3 linked regions of the Macaca fascicularis genome follow. The protein of the gene in region 3 binds, or shares a complex with, the protein of the main gene of each other region. Links are inferred from orthologs where the notes say so. Each region holds a gene or a part of one and is shown on either strand. Other genes may lie near its edges.

Region 1 (6,625 bases), on a different chromosome or scaffold from region 3:
ACAGAGGCTTTGTCGACCACCCAGAGAGGACTTGTCGTCATACGCTTACTCTAAAACGGGTGCTTTAGAATTGATGAATCACATATATAGGAAAAGACTCAGGAAAATAAGGCTGTAGTTTGTAAGGCCACTGCTGAAGAGAGGTGATCTGTGGCTAAGGTGGTGCCCACTAGAGTTTTCCAATAAACTAGCAGCTACTTCTTTGTTAAATGACCTTGATAAACCTAAATCTCTGTCCTTTCTGGTCAGCACTATCTGGCTTCCTATTTTATATCCCCAGAGTCTCATTCCAGTGGCTGGAGACAGGAGCCTTCTCTAGCCTAAGGGAGAAGAGGTTGCCACTCGTGGCAGGCTTGAGTCTCTGCCTGTGGGACTGGGGCTCACACTGGCTTTACCCTTGACGTGCTGACAGACTGCTGGGGCTCATCTCAACGACAGGATTCTATTTTTCAGTTCTTAGTACAGTGGTGAGCCATGGTCTCTGTATCGTCAGTCTTCATTTCTACCATTGGAACACTGGCTTTGGGGGATGCTAAAAAGTGTTCGATCCAGCCACAGCCACAGTGCTCTGTACACCGATGTTCCGGTGGGCTAGGTTAAACACAGTTGTGCAGTTTCATTTTCTGTAGCACTCACAGCTGTTAAAGTACTTACATGCATTGTGAATCTTGGAAAGGAGTTCACAGTGTGTAGCATTTTTAAAATACGCTTGGCCACAGAAGTGTCCAGCAGTCTCCTCTTCCACCTGCCGTGCTTTAGGATGAGATTTCTCCACCTGGGCACTGCTGACGTTTTGGACTGGATCATTCATGGCCCGGGGCTGAGGGCTCAGTGAGACTGTCCTGGGTACTGTGGGGTATAGGCAGCCTCTCTGGCCCTTACTTGCTGGATGTCTGAGCCCCTGCCAGGTTGTGGCACTGCCACCCATTCTCTGTGGGGGCACGTTCCCCACACCCGTTGAGCAGCACTCCCACTGGAGGTGCTCATGCAGAATCTCGCTCCGCAGCTGATGGAGTGCTCCCCAGGCAGCACGACCCAGATGCCACTGCCTCTTCCTGAGGACTTGGTGGGCCACCGTGTACTGTAGTTTCTGTCAGCTGCGCCAGACTGTTTTGTGTTCACTTCTGATTTGTTTGTAATGATCACTTTGTACCCCGTTTCTGGTATCTTTTCCATTGACATTTCCTGTTGCAGTTACTGATTTCTTCCATTTTCAGGGAGCATTGGTTTGCCAACCATTTTCTGCATTGTGTGCAGCATTTAGCACAACTACTTATTTTCTGTTTGGTGGATTATAAAGTAGAATGTTAGGCAATTCTTGTTCTTGCCTCAATTTCCCACCCTTATTTTGACTTTAAACTTGGAGCTTCCTCTGTATTTCTTTATGAGGCAAATACATGCTGCTTTTCTGCAAAAACATCGTTTAAAACAACTGTTACACGTGGTAGTTTTTAAAAAATCATAATGTGAGATTTTTTGTCCTGGTGTCTGTTTAGTAGCAGCTCATCAGATGCAGTGTGTGTTTGGGCTTGTCAGTCTGTCCCTTGTCGCCAGTTGAGTTTCTTGCTTACAGTATAGTATTAATATGATTTATTATTTGAGATAAAGATTTTTGTATTATACATGCATCTGCTACAAACGAACTCTTTTTGGTTCACAAACACAGTTCCTCCACCAATTCTAAAATCATTTAATATTACTTTAATAATGGTACCTTTTTCTAGAAAAGCACTAATTGTTTTTTTTTTGTGGGGGGGTCTTTTTTAGGGAAAGCTTCCAACGACAGGAATGACAATCACAAAGCTTGAGGACAGTGAAAACCATAGAAATGCATTTGAAATATCAGGTGATAGGCACAAGCTGTGTGAGTGCCGTGTCTCGGGGAGGAGAGGCAGCTTGTCCCCGCGTGCAGATTCTTGCTTGCATATTTCAGAAGGTGGTGTTTAAGCGTTGAGTGGAATTCTGGGGGCTGTGTGTGCATGCACGCGCTTTTTACCTGTGTTTCCACTCGGCCTATTTTTTCCTTCTCTCCTCTAGGGAGCATGATCGAGCGGATATTAGTGTCATGCAACAACCAGCAGGATCTGCAGGAATGGGTGGACCACCTACAGAAGCAAACGAAGGTCACATCTGTGGGAAACCCCACCATAAAGCCTCATTCGGTGCCGTCTCATACCGTAAGGACCTGGCGCTTCTTCTCCTTCCAGACTCCAGGCGTGGCATCCCGTGGCTGAGCTGTCAGCAAGTGATCACGTGCTTTAAAACCTGATCAATATTGGGATAAAAATGCAAACGCTTGCTTGATATTTCTCTGAAAATATTTGGCCCTCTTTGTGCAGTAGTGAATTGTTTTCCAATGAGTGTTCTCGAGAAACAACCCTGAATTGTGCCTCCTCACGCACAATTCAGAGGTGCTTGGGTGGGAAGCTGCTTTTGCTCAGCGTGGCCTTAGAAGACTAATTTAGGGGAGTTTTACACTAAACTATAGATGATTTTTCTGAGAATTTTAACTGTTTATTATGCTTCATTTAAGAAAACGAAAATAAATGATTATGATGATGAAAAGGGCCAGATTCATGTTGAAGGCATTAAAATAGAGTTTATGACACACTGTTGATTTTAAGAAATTGAGGTGTCTTTTACTTAGAAAAGCTCAGCAACTCTTTGAATTTTTAGAGAATTACAACTTTTCAAAATAGATGAACACTGAATTCGGTTGCAGTGTTTAAACCTCTCCTGGTGTTTTTTGCTCAAGAAGTTGGTATCGGGTTGTTTTAACAGTCGTCATCTTTATCAAGTAATACCGAAAAACTGGGCAGAGCTTTTAAAGAATGAGTGGCGATGACACGGCATTTTCAGCTTGCAGATTCCCTCACATCCTTACTAGGTTATTAGGATCAGTTCTGTCGTGTGCTCAGTTTTCATGTTTTCTTCTTCATGGGAAGGTTGTAGATCAAGAAGGATTGCTGTATTCTGATATTCTCATCAGTTTCAGAGTCCATCTGATTTCTCTCAGCAGTGTGCAGATAACTACTCATTGGCTTTTAGCTAGCATTTCATCTTTAATGGCTCTGCCGTTTTAAAATTCTCCATTCTTTCGTGGAGATCAGTTTATCCCAGCGACATGTGTACACGTGTGTTTATAAAGAACAGTGGATGAGCTGCTTCACTCAGATTTTCAACAGCAGCCTGAAACTCTACTTCATACAATTTTACATCAAGTCAGCTTTTCTCTGCGGCCAGACCCTCCGTCTTAGTGTTTCTTTCACTGGTGGCGGGGAAGGCACTGTGCCTCATGTTTAAAATGTTCTGCGTTCTCCTACAGAGTTTCTTTTGTGGGATGATGTATTCTCCTGTGATCTAACTCTGTCCAACTGAAGTCATATTCTAATTTTAGCATAAAGCATACTTCCTTTGACTTTCTCAAGAAAGGAGAAACAAAACCAGACACTACTTAACTCTGACGTTGTTGCTAGGAGGGATGTCTTACATAATTTTCTCCATCTATACATTATTTCCTATGAAAAGATGACGTTACGGTGGCTTCATAGCATGACCTGTATCTCACACGATTCCCTCCCCCATGCAGGGACTAGAATGTGATCATTGCAGAAAGTTGATGGCGTCTGTTCTTGAAATTGTGGCATTAGCTGCTGTGGGGCCTTCCCTCTCAGCCTGTTTTGAAGGTCGTGTACTTCAGAATGCCGACCCCACTCAGGTTTCCAGTTCACAGCGCCACACAGCTTGTTCTCCCATTAAACGCGCCTTACTATTGTTGGCTAATTTGAAGTCATTGTTGGCTGATTTTGAGACTTACTTAACTTTTCTCATTTAACTGTCATTGTGATGGGATATTTCGGGTTTCCCAGGAATATAAAATTCATTAATGACATACCTCCTCTAAGAAGTTAATTTTCAATTAACTTTGTTTTGATTAAAGTTGAGTTTTCTAAGAAAATAACTGATTTTATACCAGGGTTTGGCAGTGTTCTAGAAAGAGCCAGATGGTAAACATTCTCTGCTTTACAGGCTCAGGCCTCTTGCAGCTGTACTCTGCCCTTGTAACACAGCAGCAGCTTTAGACAGGCACGGGCCTGCTTGTGTGCCAGGAAAACTTTTTTAAAAAACAAAACTAGGCGATTGGGCCTTAGTTTCACCCAGTACTTCATCACCAGGTGAAGAATAATACGTGACCGGGGGGAATCACCTTCCTTCTTACAGCCACATGCCCTGTGTGCTTTTGTGAAATTCTCATCTTTTTACTAGATAAAGTACCTTTTTTTCTGTTAATGTTACTCCGTAGCTAATAAATGTGGCTAGTGGATGTCCGAGTGCTGGGGCGCCAGCTAGAGCTGCCCCTCCCGTCTGGGGCAGACACCGTGGGGGGGTCCCATGCTCAGCCCAGGTGGCGCGAGCTGGTGCTTGGCCCCAAAAACTACTGAGAGCCAGAGATTCGAACGAAATGATAAATGATAAATCCTGGGGTTTATTTCACATGGAGTGTTTAAAGAGCGGAAGGAAGTGCGTGATAGTGCCCTTTCACGGTGAGCATGCAAGTCTCACGTTCTCTGCCCTTCCCGCTCTGTGCCCTCGGCAGCTGCCCTCCCACCCGGTCACTCCGTCCAGCAAGCACGCAGACAGCAAGCCCGCGCCGCTGACGCCCGCCTACCACACGCTCCCCCACCCCTCCCACCACGGCACCCCGCACACCACCATCAACTGGGGACCCCTGGAGCCTCCGAAAACACCCAAGCCCTGGAGCCTGAGCTGCCTGCGGCCCGCGCCTCCCCTCCGGCCCTCCGCTGCCCTCTGCTACAAGGAGGTGAGGTCCCTTGACCACTCAAACAGCCAGACGCCGGTGAGCATGCCTTGGGCCCCGAGTGTGCCGGGCTGGTCCCTCTGTACGCAGCAAAATGCACCCTAACTGCTAGAGAACTGAGAAGGGGTCTGCCTTGGTTCTTCGGTTATCTCCGCTGCTGCTGAGAGGCCTGTGGTAACCCTGTGTGGGAAGGGGATGTGCAGATGTGCAGGGCCCCTCCTGTCTGTGCCATGCAGAGGGGGCCTTTACTGTGCTTGCCGGAGGAATGTGCCGCCGGGGGCCAGGAGCTGGAAAGGCGCCGAGCCCAGGTGACTTTCCCTCCCCGTGTGTGAGGCCGTCGCTCGGCGTCTGCATGCTGTCTGCTGCGTCTAACAACCCCTCCTCTAGGTCGGGGATCCTATCCAGGAGCCCTGCGTTTTGTCATCCAGAAGCCATTTGAAAGGAAGAGAACGTTTACCAATACAAATGAAAAAACACTTAGGCAGTTTCCCCCTTTGATGCATAAGAAATCATGATACAGTCTTTGCTTGTCTGTGTTTTGATCCAGCATTTTTGTATTTGCTAGGTGCAAATAAAGTACGATTCTAATGAATAAATATAAGTATTAACACTTTCTTATACTTTCCCCTAAGCCAGCTTGGATGAGGAAAGGAAGCGTCTTGAGAAATGTGTTCTGAGAAATATTTTCACCTGAGGAAGCCGATAATTGAGATGAGCGTTGTTTTCATAAGCAGTTGAGCGTGCATGGTGGTGAGGTACGAGGAGTGGCGGTGCGAGTATGGGTGGCTGCGTGCAGATACGAGGAGCGGTGCCCGCTGGTGGGGTGTGAGTGGGCGTGAGGACGGTGATGCGCTCTTGCCTGGCGTCGCGCCTCTGTGTCTGGTCAAGGCCACATTTGCCAAGGGAACTGGAGCAGACTTTTTCTACGCTCTTGCCAGCAGCCCTGAGGGTTTTAAGGCCCATAGGAAAGTACTGTGTAAGAAATTAGGATCTATGCTTTTCATTTTTTGGTCTTACTGAGTCTTTGTTTTTATGATATCTTTCAGGTAATCATGTGTGCAAGTCAGAATTCTCATTTTCTGTCATGGGAAGTTACTTGAAGAATGTTGGTGTTCCTTATTGTATACTTTAGTGTGCACAGTCTAAAGAAAAAGTGAGCTACTGCAAGAACTGGTGGAGACTGAATTACTAGGGAAGAAAACGGGGATAAAACTGTTGGGAAAAGAAGTAGAAAGGGCAAGGGAAGAGGCATTGAAATGAAGATAAACAATTTGATTTTGATAATCTGGCTGCAGTTGCTTTGCCCACTCCACACTGGGAGAGAAGGGCTCACGCCGAGCAGCTGCTGTCCAGTGTTGCTGAGTGCCACACAGCATTAGCGTGGAGAGTGGTCCTGCAGAGTACGAGAAGAGGGCGTGGCGGCTCGTGGAGGCCGCTCTGCAGCCTGCTCTGCCTGGCTCTGGTCGTCGGGTGTGCTGTGTGCCTCATGACCCTCTGTGCCCGCAGGTGCACTCGGAGCACATGGTGGGTGGGCATTGGCTCTTCAAGGCTCTCCATCTCAATTTGCTTTGAATTAGGGAAGCCAGGGAGCACATGTGTATAAATGTGTCTTCTGGAACAGATTGCTACTGCATTTCTAAGAGCTTTACAATTTTTATAGAAAGATTTTTATTTAACTTTTTAAATGTTACTTTAGATTGAAAGTTTGTTACATGGCTGTATTGGGTGATGCTGGGGTTTGGGCTTCTAGGGTACCTATTACCCAAATAGGAAACACTGTACCCAATGGGTAGTTTTTCAAAACTT
Region 2 (7,389 bases), on a different chromosome or scaffold from region 3:
GAGGAAACTAGAGCCCAGGAGAGAAACTTAGAATGAGAGAATTGTCATAGGATTTTTAAAAACTCAGCAATTCAGTACTTCAGAGACGTGCCCAAATAAATATCAGTGTTCCCTTTTTTTTTTTTTTTTTGAGACAGAGTCTTGCTCTGTTGCCCAGGCTGGGGTGCAGTGGCCGGATCTCAGCTCACTGCAAGCTCCGCCTCCCAGGTTTAGACCATTCTCCTGCCTCAGCCTCCCGAGTAGCTGGGACTACAGGCGCCCGCCACCTCGCCCGGCTAGTTTTTTGTATTTTTTAGTAGAGACGGGGTTTCACCGTGTTAGCCAGGATGGTCTCAATCTCCTGACCTCGTGATCCACCCGTCTCGGCCTCCCAAAGTGCTGGGATTACAGGCTTGAGCCACCGCGCCCGGCCCAGTGTTCCCTTTTCTTAAGATGTCCCATATTACCACCACCCTGATCCATCACTAGCCACCATCTTTCCTATTCCCTCAAAATGTATGTAGTTAAGATTTATCAATATTTAACAATATTGACTATGTAGTTAACAATATTGATTCATATATTTGTCAGCATTTTGATGTTTGATATTTACACTTTCATACCCATCAAACTAAACGTTCTCCCAGAAGCCACAATTTAGGAACTTTTAAAATTACTGGCCGGGCGCGGTGGCTCACACCTGTAATCCCAGCACTTTGGGAGGCCAAGGTGGGTGGATCACGAGGTCAGGAGTCGAGACCATCCTGGCTAACACGGTGAAACCCCGTCTCTACTAAAAATGCAAAAAATTAGCCGGGCATGGTGGCAGGTGCCTGTAGTCCCAGCTACTTGGGAGGCTGAGGCAGGAGAATGGCATGAACCCGGGAGGCGGAGCTTGCAGTGAGCTGAAATCGCACCAGTGCACTCCAGCCTGGGAGACAGCGGGACTCTAAAAAAAAGAAAAATTACTTCAGTCAGGCCGGGCACGGTGGCTCACGCCTGTAATCCCAGCACTTTGGGAGGCCACGGTGGGTAGGATCACTTGAGATCAGGAGTTCAAGACCATCTTGGGCAACATGGTGAAACCCCGTCTCTACTAAAAATACAAAAATTAGCTGGGTGTGGTGGCACATGCCTGTAATCCCAAGTACTTGGGAGGCTGAGGAGGAAAGTCGCTCAAACCCAGGAGGCGGAGGTTGCAGTGAGCCAAGATGGGGCTACTGCACTGCAGCCTAGGCAACAGAGTGAGATTCTATCTTTAAAAAAATTACTTCAGAGTCCCACCTCCTCTGCTCCCAGTAACTCAATCAATATTGTTAACCAACTGAAAACACCTCAAGCCTAGTTTCTTAAGCTTCTAGAACAGGGTGCTGCCTCAAACACGCCCTAAGGATAAACAAGTTCCTGGGGTTTAATGCGTGTGTGTGTGTGTGTGTGTGTGTGTGTGTGTTTTCCAAGAGACTCATGATGCCTATTCTTGAGCTTGTTTAATATTGGGGTTGAGTTGTAACTTGTTAGCCTTGGGGTGTCAATCCAGCTAGGGTGTCTGAGGAAGGAAGAAGTCTCCTTAACAGCAATGAATAGGTTTCTTTTTTGCTGACTGGGTAGGGTTTCAATATACTTGAATGCTTCTTAGTTACTTCCCCATCTCAATCTTGGGACATTATCTTCCTTTCCAGCCCAAGGAATGAGATGATAATCTTCTGATACCCCAGCACAGATATGGGAAGGGTCTATGAATCAAAGAAAAGGGGGAAGAATCCCTGCACTTCTGCATACAGGTTTTTCTTATTACATTTAAGAGTAAGTTCTCAGTACTCAGCTCCTAAAGCATCTCACAGCCAGCAGGGGAAAATCCATCTGACAGCTGGCCAAACGAAACCAGCAAAGAATGAAACCAACAAAGGGAGGGTAGGGTCTCTTCTGGCTTGAATTTATAGTGCTCTAGTGACCGATCTTTCTTCTCTTTTCCTTCTTACTGTTTTCTAAACCGTTTAGGGAAAAACCTTTGAAAATATTTTTTAAAATTGTTCCTTCAAACAGGTGTATGGCCATCTCTCCACTGGAAATTTGGATATAAACAAGAGGACTTTCTTGCTTTTAACCAGATTTATGGATGTATATTTGATTTAGTGAGTTGGGAGAGGGGAGGGAGACAAGAAAGAGTGAACATAACTCTGGAAGAAAGTGAAAAAAGTGAAGCATCCTTGTTCCCCCCCCCCTTCCTTTTCCTCCAGAAGCAGGTAGGGAGTGCGAGATTATCAGCGCCTGGACACACCTCACTAAAGAGGTAATGAGGTAAATGGGAAACACAGACAAAGTGTTCCCCAACTTTGCAGGCAGAAATTGAAGAGATAACAGGATAAGCAACAGGATGTAAACACGCCTGTCCTATTTCCGTGCCAGAGAACAGAGAGAACAGAAGAGAGGGTACAAGGGGCGGGGGGTGACGAACAGCACACGCACGCAGCCCCCAGCCCTAGCCCCAAGGGATTGGAACGGGAAGTAGAAGACATCAGTCCTACAGCCGCAATGAGGCCTGAAAGTTCTCCTTTCCCTCAGAGATGGTGGTGTTTTTTTACATTTAATAGGGATGCGGGGCAAGAGAAGGACAAAGGGGCTGTTCCTTAACAGTAACACCAAGCATTCTGCGCTCCACGGCCCCAAACCTAAAAGTATTCTTGGAGCTATGGGATTTTCACACACTTGCTATTTACGAGCCACGAATAAACGACAGACTATAAAGTAATTGCACTGGCTAAGACTAGGCACGAAATTCCCTCATAAGCACATTTTCTTTTTACCTCAAACCACCGCTCTCAGACCAGAAACGTCCACACCCGCCCTCCGATGGCCTGTCGCCCTGGCTAGGTTTTAGGGTCAGTGGTATCCTCCTTCCACTAGGCCCGGGTAAAGACTCAAAAGCCCCCTCCTTCCCCTCATTCCTCTCCTTCCCCCCTCCCTGCGCCGCTCCCGAGCACAACAACCATTTTCCCCGCCAGGAGCACACCGTGTCCACGCGCCTCAGCGATCTCACTGATTGGTCGGGCTCCTGGTAAACAAGGACCGGGCAGCCAATGGGAGGGATGTGCACGAGGGCAGCACGAGCCTCCGACCCAGCGCTCGCGTGGCTCTTCTGGCCGGGGCTTCTATATAGAGCCGTTTCCGCCTGCTGCTTGAAACTAACCTCTCTTTCTCTGTCAAGAAGTGCTTGCGGAGATCGGATCTCTTCTCCAGCAATCGGGGAAAAGAAGACTTTTTCTCTGAAATCGCTTAGTGTAACCAGCGGCGTAAATTTTTTGGACGCCTTTTCGAAAACCTAGTTAAAATTCATTTGTTTAAATCTCATTTTTAAGCTCAAACTGCTTAAGAATATCTTCATTCCTTAGGAAGAGTGAAATAATTTACTGCAAAGGAATTTCCTCGATTTGGTGCATTTTTTTTTTTATTCTTCCACGGTCTTTTCTAACTCTCAAACCAACTCCGTCCCATCATGGTGATGTTCAAGAAGATCAAGTCTTTTGAGGTGGTCTTTAACGACCCTGAAAAGGTGTACGGCAGTGGTGAGAAGGTGGCTGGCCGGGTGATAGTGGAGGTGTGTGAAGTTACTCGTGTCAAAGCCGTTAGGATCCTTGCTTGCGGAGTGGCTAAAGTGCTCTGGATGCAGGGATCCCAGCAGTGCAAACAGACTTCGGAGTACCTGCGCTATGAAGACACGCTTCTTCCGGAAGACCAGCCAACAGGTAAGCGGCCCAATTCATTGTTGGAGGGTGAAAGCTGATTAGAGAAGAGAATTGAAAGGAATACACAAAACTATACGAAATGTTTTAAGTTGCTCAGTTTGAGTGGTGTGAATTGCACGTTGTTACTTCCTTTTTTCTAATTTGCAGACATTCTCCCCCCCACACCCCCCAAAAAAAAGGGTGGTTTGTACAATTTTTTATGGTGCTGTGTCCTAAAGGTGGTTCTGAGGGGCATTGCCTCGGATAGTTAAAAATCTTATGTGTGCATTAGTTGCTTATTCTTTGCCTACTTCCTGTTTGAGATGTTAGTGAAGAACTGTCCTGGGTGAATCTTTAAAAGCATTGCAGGGCAACTTGGGAACTTGCTGCCCAACAAAATACATCAGAATTTCTCTTTAAGAACAACATGGGATGATTAAAATACCTCTCTGTGGGACGAAATTAGGGGTACTTCAATACCTTGCATGCCACCCAAACATTCCTTATCACACAGATGCGTTTTAAGTGTAACAGGAAGCCTAATGGCTACTCGATTATCTTTCCCTTCAGGTGAGAATGAGATGGTGATCATGAGACCTGGAAACAAATATGAGTACAAGTTCGGCTTTGAGCTTCCCCAGGGGTAAATATCAGCTAAATGCATCTTTGAACTTTTCTGTCTAAAATATCTTGCCCTCCTTTGATCACTTACTGTTCCTTGGAGAGCATTTAAAAATTTTCATTTTCTTGACACAGGCCTCTGGGAACATCCTTCAAAGGAAAATATGGGTGTGTAGACTACTGGGTGAAGGCTTTTCTTGACCGCCCCAGCCAGCCAACTCAGGAGACAAAGAAAAACTTTGAAGTAGTGGATCTGGTGGATGTCAATACCCCTGATTTAATGGTGAGATTCATTTTAAAGATTATATTCTCCTGGGTCACAGGGATGATAAATCAGATGTCTTGGGCATTAGATTGAAGCATCTCAAAACACCTTTTTGTCCCCTTCTACATAGGCACCTGTGTCTGCTAAAAAGGAAAAGAAAGTTTCCTGCATGTTCATTCCTGATGGGCGGGTGTCTGTCTCTGCTCGAATTGACAGAAAAGGATTCTGTGAAGGTAAAATCCTAGTGCTTATGGCAGACAGATATAACAGGAACTAGGTTTAGGGGCAAGGGCATGGGACTGGGGTAGAGGAAATGTCATTAACTATACTGAGTATCAGTAAGTTTTCATTTTTCTCTTTGCTAGGTGACGAGATTTCCATCCATGCTGACTTTGAGAATACGTGTTCCCGAATTGTGGTCCCCAAAGCTGCCATTGTGGCCCGCCACACTTATCTTGCCAATGGCCAGACCAAGGTGCTGACTCAGAAGTTGTCATCAGTCAGAGGCAATCATATTATCTCAGGGACATGTGCATCATGGCGTGGAAAGAGCCTTCGGGTTCAGAAGATCAGGCCTTCTATCCTGGGCTGCAACATTCTTCGAGTTGAATATTCTTTACTGGTGAGTAGATGCAGGGTGGGTTCAGCAGAGAAATTGTTCATCTGTTACCATAACTGTCTTGTTTCACCAGAGCGCTCTGGTCTAACAAACTACCATCTTCCTTTTCTAGATCTATGTTAGCGTTCCTGGGTCCAAGAAGGTCATCCTTGACCTGCCCCTGGTAATTGGCAGCAGATCAGGTCTAAGCAGCAGAACATCCAGCATGGCCAGCCGAACCAGCTCTGAGATGAGTTGGGTAGATCTGAATATCCCTGATACCCCAGAAGGTGAGCCAGACCTAATGTCTTTTCTTCATTTCTGGTCTACCTGGGTTTGTAAAATTGTGATGGTCCAGCATTTCTTGGGCAGGCTTCTTATGTGGCCATATTTTCTTTTCTAGCTCCTCCCTGCTATATGGATATCATTCCCGAAGATCACCGATTGGAGAGCCCCACCACTCCTCTGCTAGATGACATGGATGGCGCTCAAGACAGCCCTATCTTTATGTATGCCCCTGAGTTCAAGTTCATGCCACCACCTACTTATACTGAGGTGAGAATTGTCATATTTACTGTTAAAATTTGTCCTAAGCTTTCTATAAGAAGTTGACTTAGGGGGATTGCTAAACTGGTTTGTTCTTTTAGTTCTTATCTGAACTGAAATAGTCTGTTTCTTCCTTTAGGTGGATCCGTGCATCCTCAACAACAACGTGCAGTGAACATGTGGAAGAAAAGAAGCAGCTTTACCTACTTCTTTCTTTTTGTCTCTCTTCCTGGACTCTCACTTTTTCAGAGACTCAGTAGTCTCTGCAATGGAGTGTGGATCCACCTTAGCCTCTGACTTCCCAATGCAGGAGGTGGTCAGCAGGCAATCTCCTGGGCCTTAAAGGATGCGGACTCATCCTCAGCCAGCGCCGATGTTGTGATACAGGGGTGTTTGTTGGATGGGTTTAAAAACAGCTAGAAAAACTCAGGCCCATCCATTTTCTCAGATCTCCTTGAAAATTGAGGCCTTTTCGGTAGTTTCGGGTCAGGTAAAAATGGCCTCCTGGCATGAGCTTTTCAAGGTTTCTTGGAGGCTTTGTGCAAATTGTGATAACCACTTTGGACCTTCAACTTATGTATCTATCATGTGGAAAAGAGCCAATTTAGCAAACTAGGAACATGAAAAGGGAAATTATGGCCAAAACTTTGGGAAAAGGAGGTTCTTAAAATCAGTATTCCCCTTTGTGCACTTGCAGAAAAAAAAGAAAAACCTTCTAGGGCTGATTTGATGGACATTTGGAGAGAGCTTTCTCTGTGATTATAAAAAAAGAAGCTAGCTGCTCTATGGTCGTCTTTGCTTAGAGTGTACTTTAACCTGGCTTTTAAAGCGGTAGTAACTGTGTCCCACCAAAGGTCTTAAAAGCCATTTTTGGAGCATATTGCACTGTGTTCTCCTATTGCAAATATTTTCATATGGGAGGATATTTTTCTCTTCATGCAAGTCCTTGGAATTGATTCTAAGGTGATGTTCTTAGCACTTTAGTTCCTGTCAAATTTTTTGTCCTCCCCCCTCCACCATCTTAAATGTAAGCTGAAACTCGTCTACTATGTCTCTAGGGGTAAGCCCAAAGACAAAAAGAAAAAAAAACTGTTAACTACTTTTGAGATTGCCCCAATGTACAGAATTACATAATTCTAAGACTCAAATCATGTGAAAGGGTTGCTGCTGTCAGCCTTGCCCACTGTGACTTCTCCAAACCCAAGGAGGAACTCTTGATCAAAATACCCAACACTGATCAGAACCTCCAAATACTGCCATGAGAAACTAGAGGGCAGGTCTTCACAAAAGCCCTTCGAACCCCCTTCCTGCCCTGTGTTAGGAGATAGGGATATTGGCCCCTCTCTCACTGCAGCTGCCAGCACTTGGTCAGTCACTCTCAGCCATAGCACTTTGTTCACTGTCCTGTGTCAGAGCACTGAGCTCCACCCTTTTCTGAGCGTTGCTGCAGCCAGAAAGTGTGGACTGAAGGTGGTTTCATGTTTTTGTATTATGTATCTTTTTGTATGGTAAAGACTATATTTTGTACTTCACCAGATATATTTTTACCCCAGATGGGGATATTCTTGTAAAAAATAAAAATAAAGTTTTTTTAACGGGAAAAAAAAATGTTGTCTGTGAGATGGCTTTGGAGAAGGTTTTGGAAAGAAGGTGTGCCT
Region 3 (7,309 bases):
GTATTCCGTCCCCTCAAAGCGTAACCAGTATCCTGACTTCTAACACCATAGACTAGTTTTGCCTAACCTTATATAGTTTTTAAAAGTGTAGGTGAATACAGAATCTGGAGCTAGAAGACTTAGGGTTAGATCCCTGGTTCCTGGCTGAGTGATCTTGAACAAGCCATTTAATTTCTGTCACACTCAGTTTTCTTCTCTGTATAATGGTCATAAAAATACCTCGTACTGGCCAGGTGCAGTGGCTCACCCCTATAATCCCAGCACTTTGGGAGGCCGAGGCGGGCAGATCACAAGGTCAGGAGATTGAGACCATCCTGGCTAACATGGTGTCTCTACTAAAAATACAAAATTAGCCAGGCATGGTGGTTCATGCCTGTAATCCCAGCTACTCGGGAGGCTGAGGCAGGAGAATCGCTTGAATCCAGGAGGCAGAGGTTGTGGTGAGCCAAGATCATGCCATTGCACTCCAGCCTGGGCAACAAGAGTGAAACTCTGTCTAGGAAGGGAAGGGGAAGGGGAAGGGGAAGAGGAAGGGGAAGGGGAAGGGGAAGAGGAAGGGGAAGGGGAAGGGGAAGGGGAAGGGGAAGGGGAAATGCAAATTCTGCCAGGCACGGTGGCTCAAGCCTGTAATTCCAGCACTTTGGGAGGCCAAGGCAGGCGGATCACTTGAGGTCAGGAATTCGAGACCAGCCTGGCCAACATGGGGAAACTGTATCCCTACAAAAATACAAAAATTAGTCAGTCATGGTGGCATGCACCTGTAATCCCAGCTGCTTGGGAGGCTGAGGCAGGAGAATCTCTTGAACCTGGGAAGCAGAGGTGGCAGTGAGCGGAAGTTGGGCCACTGCACTCCAGCCTGGGTGACAGAGTGAGACTCAGTATCCAAAAAAAAAAAAAAAAAGCAAATTCTCAGGCCCCACCCAGACCTACTGAATCAGAAACTCTGGGAGTGGCCTCAGCAATCTATGATTTAACTAACCTTGCAGGCAATTCTAATAAGTACTGAGGTTTGAAAATCACTGCACTAGAGAATCTGAATGAGGATAGGGGCGCAGGAATCGGTATTTTAGCAATCTTTCCTAAGACATGTTGCAGGAAACATGAAGTGGTTTTGAAAGTACTTTGCTTGAGGCTTGAAGGCTTGAACCTAGGAGTTTGGTTTTTGTGTTTTTTTAGATGGGGTTTCACTCTGTCACTCAGGCTGGAGTACAGTGGTACGATCTTGGCTCACCGCAGTCTCGTCTCCTGAGTTCAAGCAATTCTCCCACCTCAGCCTCCTGAGTAGCTGAGATTACAGGGGTGTGCCACCATGCCCAACTAATTTTTGATTTTTTTTTTTTTTGAGACAGAATCTCGCTCTGTGGCCCAGGATGGAGTTCAGTGGCGTGATCGTGGCTCACTGCAACCTCTGCCTCCTGGGTCCAAGCAATTCTCTGCCTCGGCCTCCCGAGTAGCTGGGATTACAGGCACCCACCACCACGCCCGGCTAATTTTTGTATTTTTAGTAGAGATGGGTTTTCACCATGTTAGCCAGGCTGGTATTGAACTCTTGACCTCAAGTGATTCGCCTGCCTTGGCCTCCCGAACTGCTGGGATTACAGGTGTAAGCCACCGAGCCTGGCCAAGCCTAGAAGTTTGAGAACAGCCTGGGCAACACAGGGAGTCCACGTCTCTACAAAAATTTAAAAAATTAGCCTGGTGTAGTGGCTTGAGCCTGGAGTCCCAGCTACTCAGGAAGCTGAGGTGGGAGGATCACTTGAGCCCAGGACGTCAGCTGCAGTGAGCTATGATTGCACCACTGCACTCCAGGTTGGGTGACAGAGCAGGACGCTGTCTCAAAAAAAAAAAAAAAAAAAAAGATACTTTGAAAAATGTAAGTGACTTTCCAGATGGCAAAATACTATTTTCATTAGGCGGAAACAGTAATAGCAAAGGTCACTAAGAAATGAGTACTTAGTCATACCTCTGAGTCTCTGCTTGCATAGCCTATTATTTCTCAAGCAATCCATGAAGAAGGTTAAGAGAATGGACTTTCACACCAGACTGCCTGGGTTCTTATCAAGCATGTGACTTAGTTTGTACATTTGTAAAATGGGGATAATAACGGTATTTCTGGAATAGGTTTCTCGTGAGAATAAAGAGAGCTTGGTATCAGCTCTTAGAATACCGGCCATGTTGGCTCCACTAAGCTGTTATCACCATTCCTAAGCACACCCAGTTAAAAGGTAGAAAAGGGAGAATTTGAACCCAGTCAGTGTAACTCTCAAGTGTACATTTTTTTCTTTTATTTTCTTTTTAACCACAGCCTTTAATGTACATTGTTAAAGGCTAAACCAGGCCAGGTGCAGTGGCTCACATCTATAATCTCAGCGATTAGGGGGCCTGAGGAGGCAGTATCTCTTGAGCCCAGGAGTTTGAGACCAGCCTGGGCAACATGGCGAGACTGTGGCCCTGTCCCTGCCCCATCCCATCCGGACCCCACCCCATCCCCATCTCTACAAAGAATAGACAAAAATTACTCTGGTGTGGTGGTGCTCACCTGTTGTCCTAGCTACTCAGGAGGCTGAGGTAGGAGACTTGCTTGAGCCCAGGAGTGTGAGGCTCTAGTGAGCTATGACTGCACCACTGCACTCCAGCGTGGTTGACAGAGTGAGACCTTATCTCAAAAAGAAGAAAAAAAAAAAAAAGAAAAGGAAAAGAAAAAGAAAAAAGAACAACTAAGTTATAAACTAAGCTGTGTAGCACAGTGGTTCTCAAATTATTATTTCACTCACTAGTAGTATCACTAGAGAGCTTGTTAGACATGCAGATTATCAGACCCTATCCTCCTATGCCAGATCTTCTGATCAGAAACTCTGGGGGTGGGGGTCAGCACTGTAAGTTTTAATAAGCTCTCTAGGTGATTCTGATGCACACCATAGTTTGAGAATCACAGTCCTTATAGGCTCCGGTGGGCGGGGTGTTAAAAAAAAAAAAAAAAAGAAAGAAAAAAGAATGAGCCGCTCGCTCCCGTCTCACCCGGAGGTGAGGAAAACTGGGATTTAACTGGATTTACCACCGCAGCCGGCTCTTCAAGCCAGGGGCGGGCCGAACGGCTGGCGGGCAAGGCCTGCTGGGGCTTGTAGTCCAGACCACTCCCGCGCTCAGGCGCCTGCGCTTTGGCTGCTAACTCGCTCTGGTAGCTGTGGTCGGGGCTCGGGACCGGCTGCCATCTTAGTCTAGGGACTGAGGAGTCGCCGCCGCCCGGAGTCCCGGTAAACACCCGTGGGCGAGCTCGGGGCAGTTCTCGGGAGAGGGAGGGAGTCCGGATGAGAATGTTGGGGGAGAACTAGGGTAGAGGAGTGGGACGCGCGGGTCGGGACCCCAGAGCCGCGGCTGCTCTGTCTCCCAGAGCCGGTGTCTGTGGGGGGCGCGGGGAGCTCGGGCTACTGGCCCGGGCCGGGCGGTGGGGGTGGGTTATCTGGACGTTCGGAGGGATCAATGCCTGGCACAGGCTCCCGAGGCCTTCGCCTCGCGGGCTCCAAGTTGTGAAAGGGCTGGGCCACGACGGGCGTGGGTACGGTCCGGCCCCTCGCCCCTCATCCCCGCCTGGGGCCACTCTCCAGCGGTTCGGCCTACGCGCGGGGCCCGGCGGCCCGGGCCGGCGCGGGCTACGTGGCCCTGTGAGGGGCGTCGGCCGGGTCCCCCGTTACCCAGCTGTCCTTCCCGAGACTTCCGAGCCCCCAGTCGCTAGAAGGGCCCAGCCCAGCGGCTACCTCCACTTCTCTCTCCCACTCCCCTCCTCCTTCCATTGTCCCCCGGCATGGTGGTCCCGGCCCCGGCACCCTCCCCGACGCCCGCCACCGTCGTGGCGGCGCCGACTTTTGCAGACGTGGAGCTGTCACTGCCCTTCCTCCGGAGAGTGCCCTTTTCCTTAGCAGAGAAAAGTAAAAAGAGCCGTTGAACGTATTCTAAGGGTCGAAACGTGATGACATGACTTTTAAGTGGATAACTCAAGTTTTCCAAGACAGTTCCGGGCCGCGACTTAAAAGAGAGAATCGCAGGATTTGTGCGCCCAAGTAGACGCTGGGCCTAAAGTTAGTTGGACATGTAACCAGGTGAACTTGTAAAGGGCCAGGAATTCATTATCCCCAATAACAACGCAACCTTGTTTTCTTGGTTGTATTCGTATCCTAATCTTACTACATTTTCTGCCGTTCTTCCACATCTGCGATATACTTGGTTTGGAGTGGGGGATGGGGAAGTGTGAGATTTTTGCCTTGAAAATTAGTAAGACCCTGGAGCCAGCCACCTATCATTGCACTTAGTTGGGTTCTCCTGCATCTTTTCCTAATATAATTCGATCTTCAGGAAGTATGTAAAGGCAGTGTATTTCCATTCTCAAAATCGGCTAAGGAGTTATTTATCAGTTCAGGTGAAGTTCTCATGGCAGATATGGTGAGAGCTTGCTGTGTGTATTTTACAGGTTTTTTTTTTTTTTTTTTTTTTTGAGGCGGAGTCTCGCTCTGTCGCCCAGGCTGGAGTGCAGTGGCCGGATCTCAGCTCACTGCAAGCCCCGCCTCCCGGGTTCACGCCATTCTCCTGCCTCAGCCTCCCAAGTAGCTGGGAGTACAGGCGCCCGCCACCTCGCCCGGCTAATTTTTTTTTTTTTGTATTTTAGTAGAGACGGGGTTTCACCGTGTTAGCCAGGATGGTCTCGATCTCCTGACCTTGTGATACACCCGTCTCGGCCTCCCAAAGTGCTGGGATTACAAGCTTGAGCCACCGCGCCCGGCCTTTACAGGTTTATTTAAGCTATAATTTATTTTTAAAATTAAGAAATGGGCCGGGTGCTGTGGCTGACGCCTGTAATCCCAGCACTTTGGGAGGCCGAGGCGGGCAGATCACGAGGTCAGAAGTTCGAGACCATCCTGGTCAACATGGTGAAACCCTGTCTCTACTAAAAACACACACACACAAATTAGCTGGGCGTGGTGGCAGGTACCTGTAGTCCTAGCTACTAGGGAGGCTGAGGCAAGAGAATGGCTTCAGCCCAGGAGGTGGAGGCTGCAGTGAGCCCAAATCTGGTTGCTGCGCTCCAGCCTGGGTGTCAGTGGTGTCGGAGTGAGACTCCGAAAAAAAAAAAAAAAAAAAAAAACAATGGGATGGGCGTGGTGGCTCACGCCTGTAATCCCAGCACTTTTGGGAGGCCCAGGCCGGCAGATCTCTTGAGCCCAGGAATTGGAGATCAGCCTGGGCAACATAGTGAAACCCCGTCTCTACAAAAAATACAAAGATTAGCTGGGTGTGGTGGTGGGTGCCTGTGGTCCCAGATACTCAGGAGGCTGAGGTGGGGGAATCACCTGAGTCCTGGGGGTGGAGGCAATGGTGAGCTGTTACTGTGCCACTGCACTCCAGCCTTGGGTGACAGATTGAGATCCTGTCTCAAGAAAGAAAAAAAAAAATGGAAATGAAGGTGGAAATTCTACTGCTTCTTTGAACCGTGAATGTGTTTAAGTTTTGTGAGTCCAAAAGGAATTCCCTTATATTCAGCATACAAGTCAAGTCACCAAGGATATGATATGAAATTACAAAAATGAGTACAGACTACTTCAGTGTATTCTAGAATCAAACATTTCTACATTCTTTTTTAAAAAATACGTCTTTTTTTTTTTTTTTTTTGAGACGGAGTCTCGCTGTGTCTCCCAGGCTGGAGTGCAGTGGCGTGATCTCGGCTCACTGCAAGCTCCGCCTCCCGGGTTCACGCCATTCTCCCGCCTCAGCCTCCCAAGTAGCTGAGACTACAGGCACCTGCCACCACGCCCGGCTAGTTTTTTGTATTTTTAGTAGAGACGGGGTTTCACCATGTTAGCCAGGATAGTCTCGATCTCCTGACCTCGTGATCCATCCGCCTCGGCCTCCCAAAGTGCTGGGATTACAGGCTTGAGCCACCGCGCCCGGCCTTTTTTTTTTTTTTTTTTTTTAATTTGAGATGGAGTCTAGCTTTGTCACCCAGGCTGGAGTACAGTGGTGTGATCTCGGTTCACTGCAACCTCCGCCTCCTGGGTTCCAGCAATTCTTTTGCCTCAGCCTCCCTAGTAGCTGGGACTGCAGGCACGTGCTACCCCCCCCCCCGGCTAATTTTTTTTTTGTTTTTTAGTAGAGATGGACTTTCACCATATTGGTTAGGCTGGTCTCTAACTCCTGACCTCGTGATCTACCTGCCTCGGCCTCCCAAAGTGCTGGGATTACAGGCATGAGCCGCCTTGCCTGGCCCTAAAAAATACGTCTTTTCACCTATTAGGAGAGACAGACAAACCAGTAGTCCCCAAATTTGACCATTAGAATAATTAGAAGAGCGTAGAAATTCCACGGTCTCACCTTCTGAGATGGATTTAGTAGGTCTGGGTTGGCTCCAACCAATTTATTTTTAACACATGCCTTAGGTAATTCTGATGGTCTTGGGAACCACTGAGGGCAGATGGTACTCTAGACTTATCAAGGAAAGGTCAAAAAACTTTGAGACGGAAGAGGAAGTGGCCAATTCTGTGTGTGTGGCTGGGTGGAGGATTGGTTAGAAGAGGCAGGATTTGCCCCTGAACCCTCATTGGGTCTTAGATGAAGAGTAGGAATGTGAAAAGCAGTGGGGGGCGGTGGGGGTGTGGGGGCGGTGGGGGTGGAGGGAAGAGAGAAGGACAGGGTAGGCTGAGTGAAGGCCTTAATGCTGTGTGTAAATTCAGAGGATTGTGGAACAAAAATGATTCAGGGAGTAGGGAGTGGAATGGGGAAGGAGAGCATTTTGAAACACAAGGTCAGAAAGGTTAAAGGAAGCAAGTATATGAAAAGTTATTTTTTGTTGTTGTTGAGACTGGGTCTCACCCAGTCACCCAGGATGGAGTACAGTGGCAGTAGTACCTCCAGAGCTCAAGTGATCTTCCCACCCCAGCCTCCCTGAGTAGCCGGGACAACAGGCATGCATCAGCACGCCTGGCTAATTAAAGATTTTTTTTTTATAGAGACAGGTTCTCTTTACGTTGCCCAGGCTGGTCTTGAACTCCTGTGTTCAAGTGGTCCTCCCACCTTGGCCTCCTAAAGTGTTGAGATTACAGGTGTAAGCTACTGTGCTTTGTCTAAAAATTTTAAGTATAATGCTAAAAATTTGGAATTTTATTTTGGTAGAAATAGATACAGGGCTGGGCTCAGTGCCTCACGCCTGTAATCCCAGCAGTTTGGGAGGCTGAAGCGGGTGAATTGCTTGAGCTCAGGAGTTCGAGACCAGCCTGGTCAACATGGTGAAATCCCGTCTTTACAAAAAGGAAGAAAAAAAAAA

The links.
Region 1: the proteins of ITCH (region 3) and ARHGEF7 are in contact, whole or in part, in a crystal structure (PDB 5SXP), measured with the Homo sapiens proteins. The link is inferred for Macaca fascicularis from reciprocal best matches to the Homo sapiens genes ITCH and ARHGEF7. Residues at the interface, in NP_001244066.1 of Homo sapiens: Arg252, Pro253, Pro254, Arg255, Pro256, Arg258, Pro259, Pro260, Pro261, Pro262, Thr263, Pro264, Arg266; in NP_001106983.1 of Homo sapiens: Phe193, Phe195, Thr198, Asp201, Glu202, Arg215, Glu217, Glu218, Gly219, Gly220, Trp221, Glu223, Thr230, Trp232, Pro234, Asn236, Tyr237.
Region 2: the proteins of ITCH (region 3) and TXNIP are in contact, whole or in part, in a crystal structure (PDB 5CQ2), measured with the Homo sapiens proteins. The link is inferred for Macaca fascicularis from reciprocal best matches to the Homo sapiens genes ITCH and TXNIP. Residues at the interface, in NP_001244066.1 of Homo sapiens: Glu485, Arg487, Thr489, Tyr495, Val497, Asp498, His499, Arg502, Thr503, Thr504, Thr505, Tyr506, Leu516; in NP_006463.3 of Homo sapiens: Pro328, Glu329, Ala330, Pro331, Pro332, Cys333, Tyr334, Val337, Ile338.

What each region holds. Positions count from the first base shown.
Region 1 is NC_088391.1:101,801,409-101,808,033, forward strand, and holds part of ARHGEF7 (rho guanine nucleotide exchange factor 7), read left to right. Parts: intron 1-1,767; coding exon 1,768-1,936; intron 1,937-2,037; coding exon 2,038-2,177; intron 2,178-4,597; coding exon 4,598-4,822; intron 4,823-5,451; exon of another isoform or gene 5,452-5,574; intron 5,575-5,865; exon of another isoform or gene 5,866-6,343; intron 6,344-6,625. UniProt on the Homo sapiens protein: Acts as a RAC1 guanine nucleotide exchange factor (GEF) and can induce membrane ruffling. Functions in cell migration, attachment and cell spreading. Promotes targeting of RAC1 to focal adhesions. May function as a positive regulator of apoptosis.
Region 2 is NC_088375.1:113,420,368-113,427,756, forward strand, and holds TXNIP (thioredoxin-interacting protein), read left to right. Parts: upstream 1-3,157; 5' UTR 3,158-3,472; coding exon 3,473-3,722; intron 3,723-4,271; coding exon 4,272-4,344; intron 4,345-4,457; coding exon 4,458-4,605; intron 4,606-4,717; coding exon 4,718-4,820; intron 4,821-4,952; coding exon 4,953-5,209; intron 5,210-5,318; coding exon 5,319-5,475; intron 5,476-5,588; coding exon 5,589-5,740; intron 5,741-5,870; coding exon 5,871-5,906; 3' UTR 5,907-7,339; downstream 7,340-7,389. UniProt on the Homo sapiens protein: May act as an oxidative stress mediator by inhibiting thioredoxin activity or by limiting its bioavailability.
Region 3 is NC_088384.1:90,408,706-90,416,014, forward strand, and holds the start of ITCH (E3 ubiquitin-protein ligase Itchy homolog), read left to right. Parts: upstream 1-3,177; 5' UTR 3,178-3,254; intron 3,255-7,309. UniProt on the Homo sapiens protein: Acts as an Acts as an E3 ubiquitin-protein ligase which accepts ubiquitin from an E2 ubiquitin-conjugating enzyme in the form of a thioester and then directly transfers the ubiquitin to targeted substrates.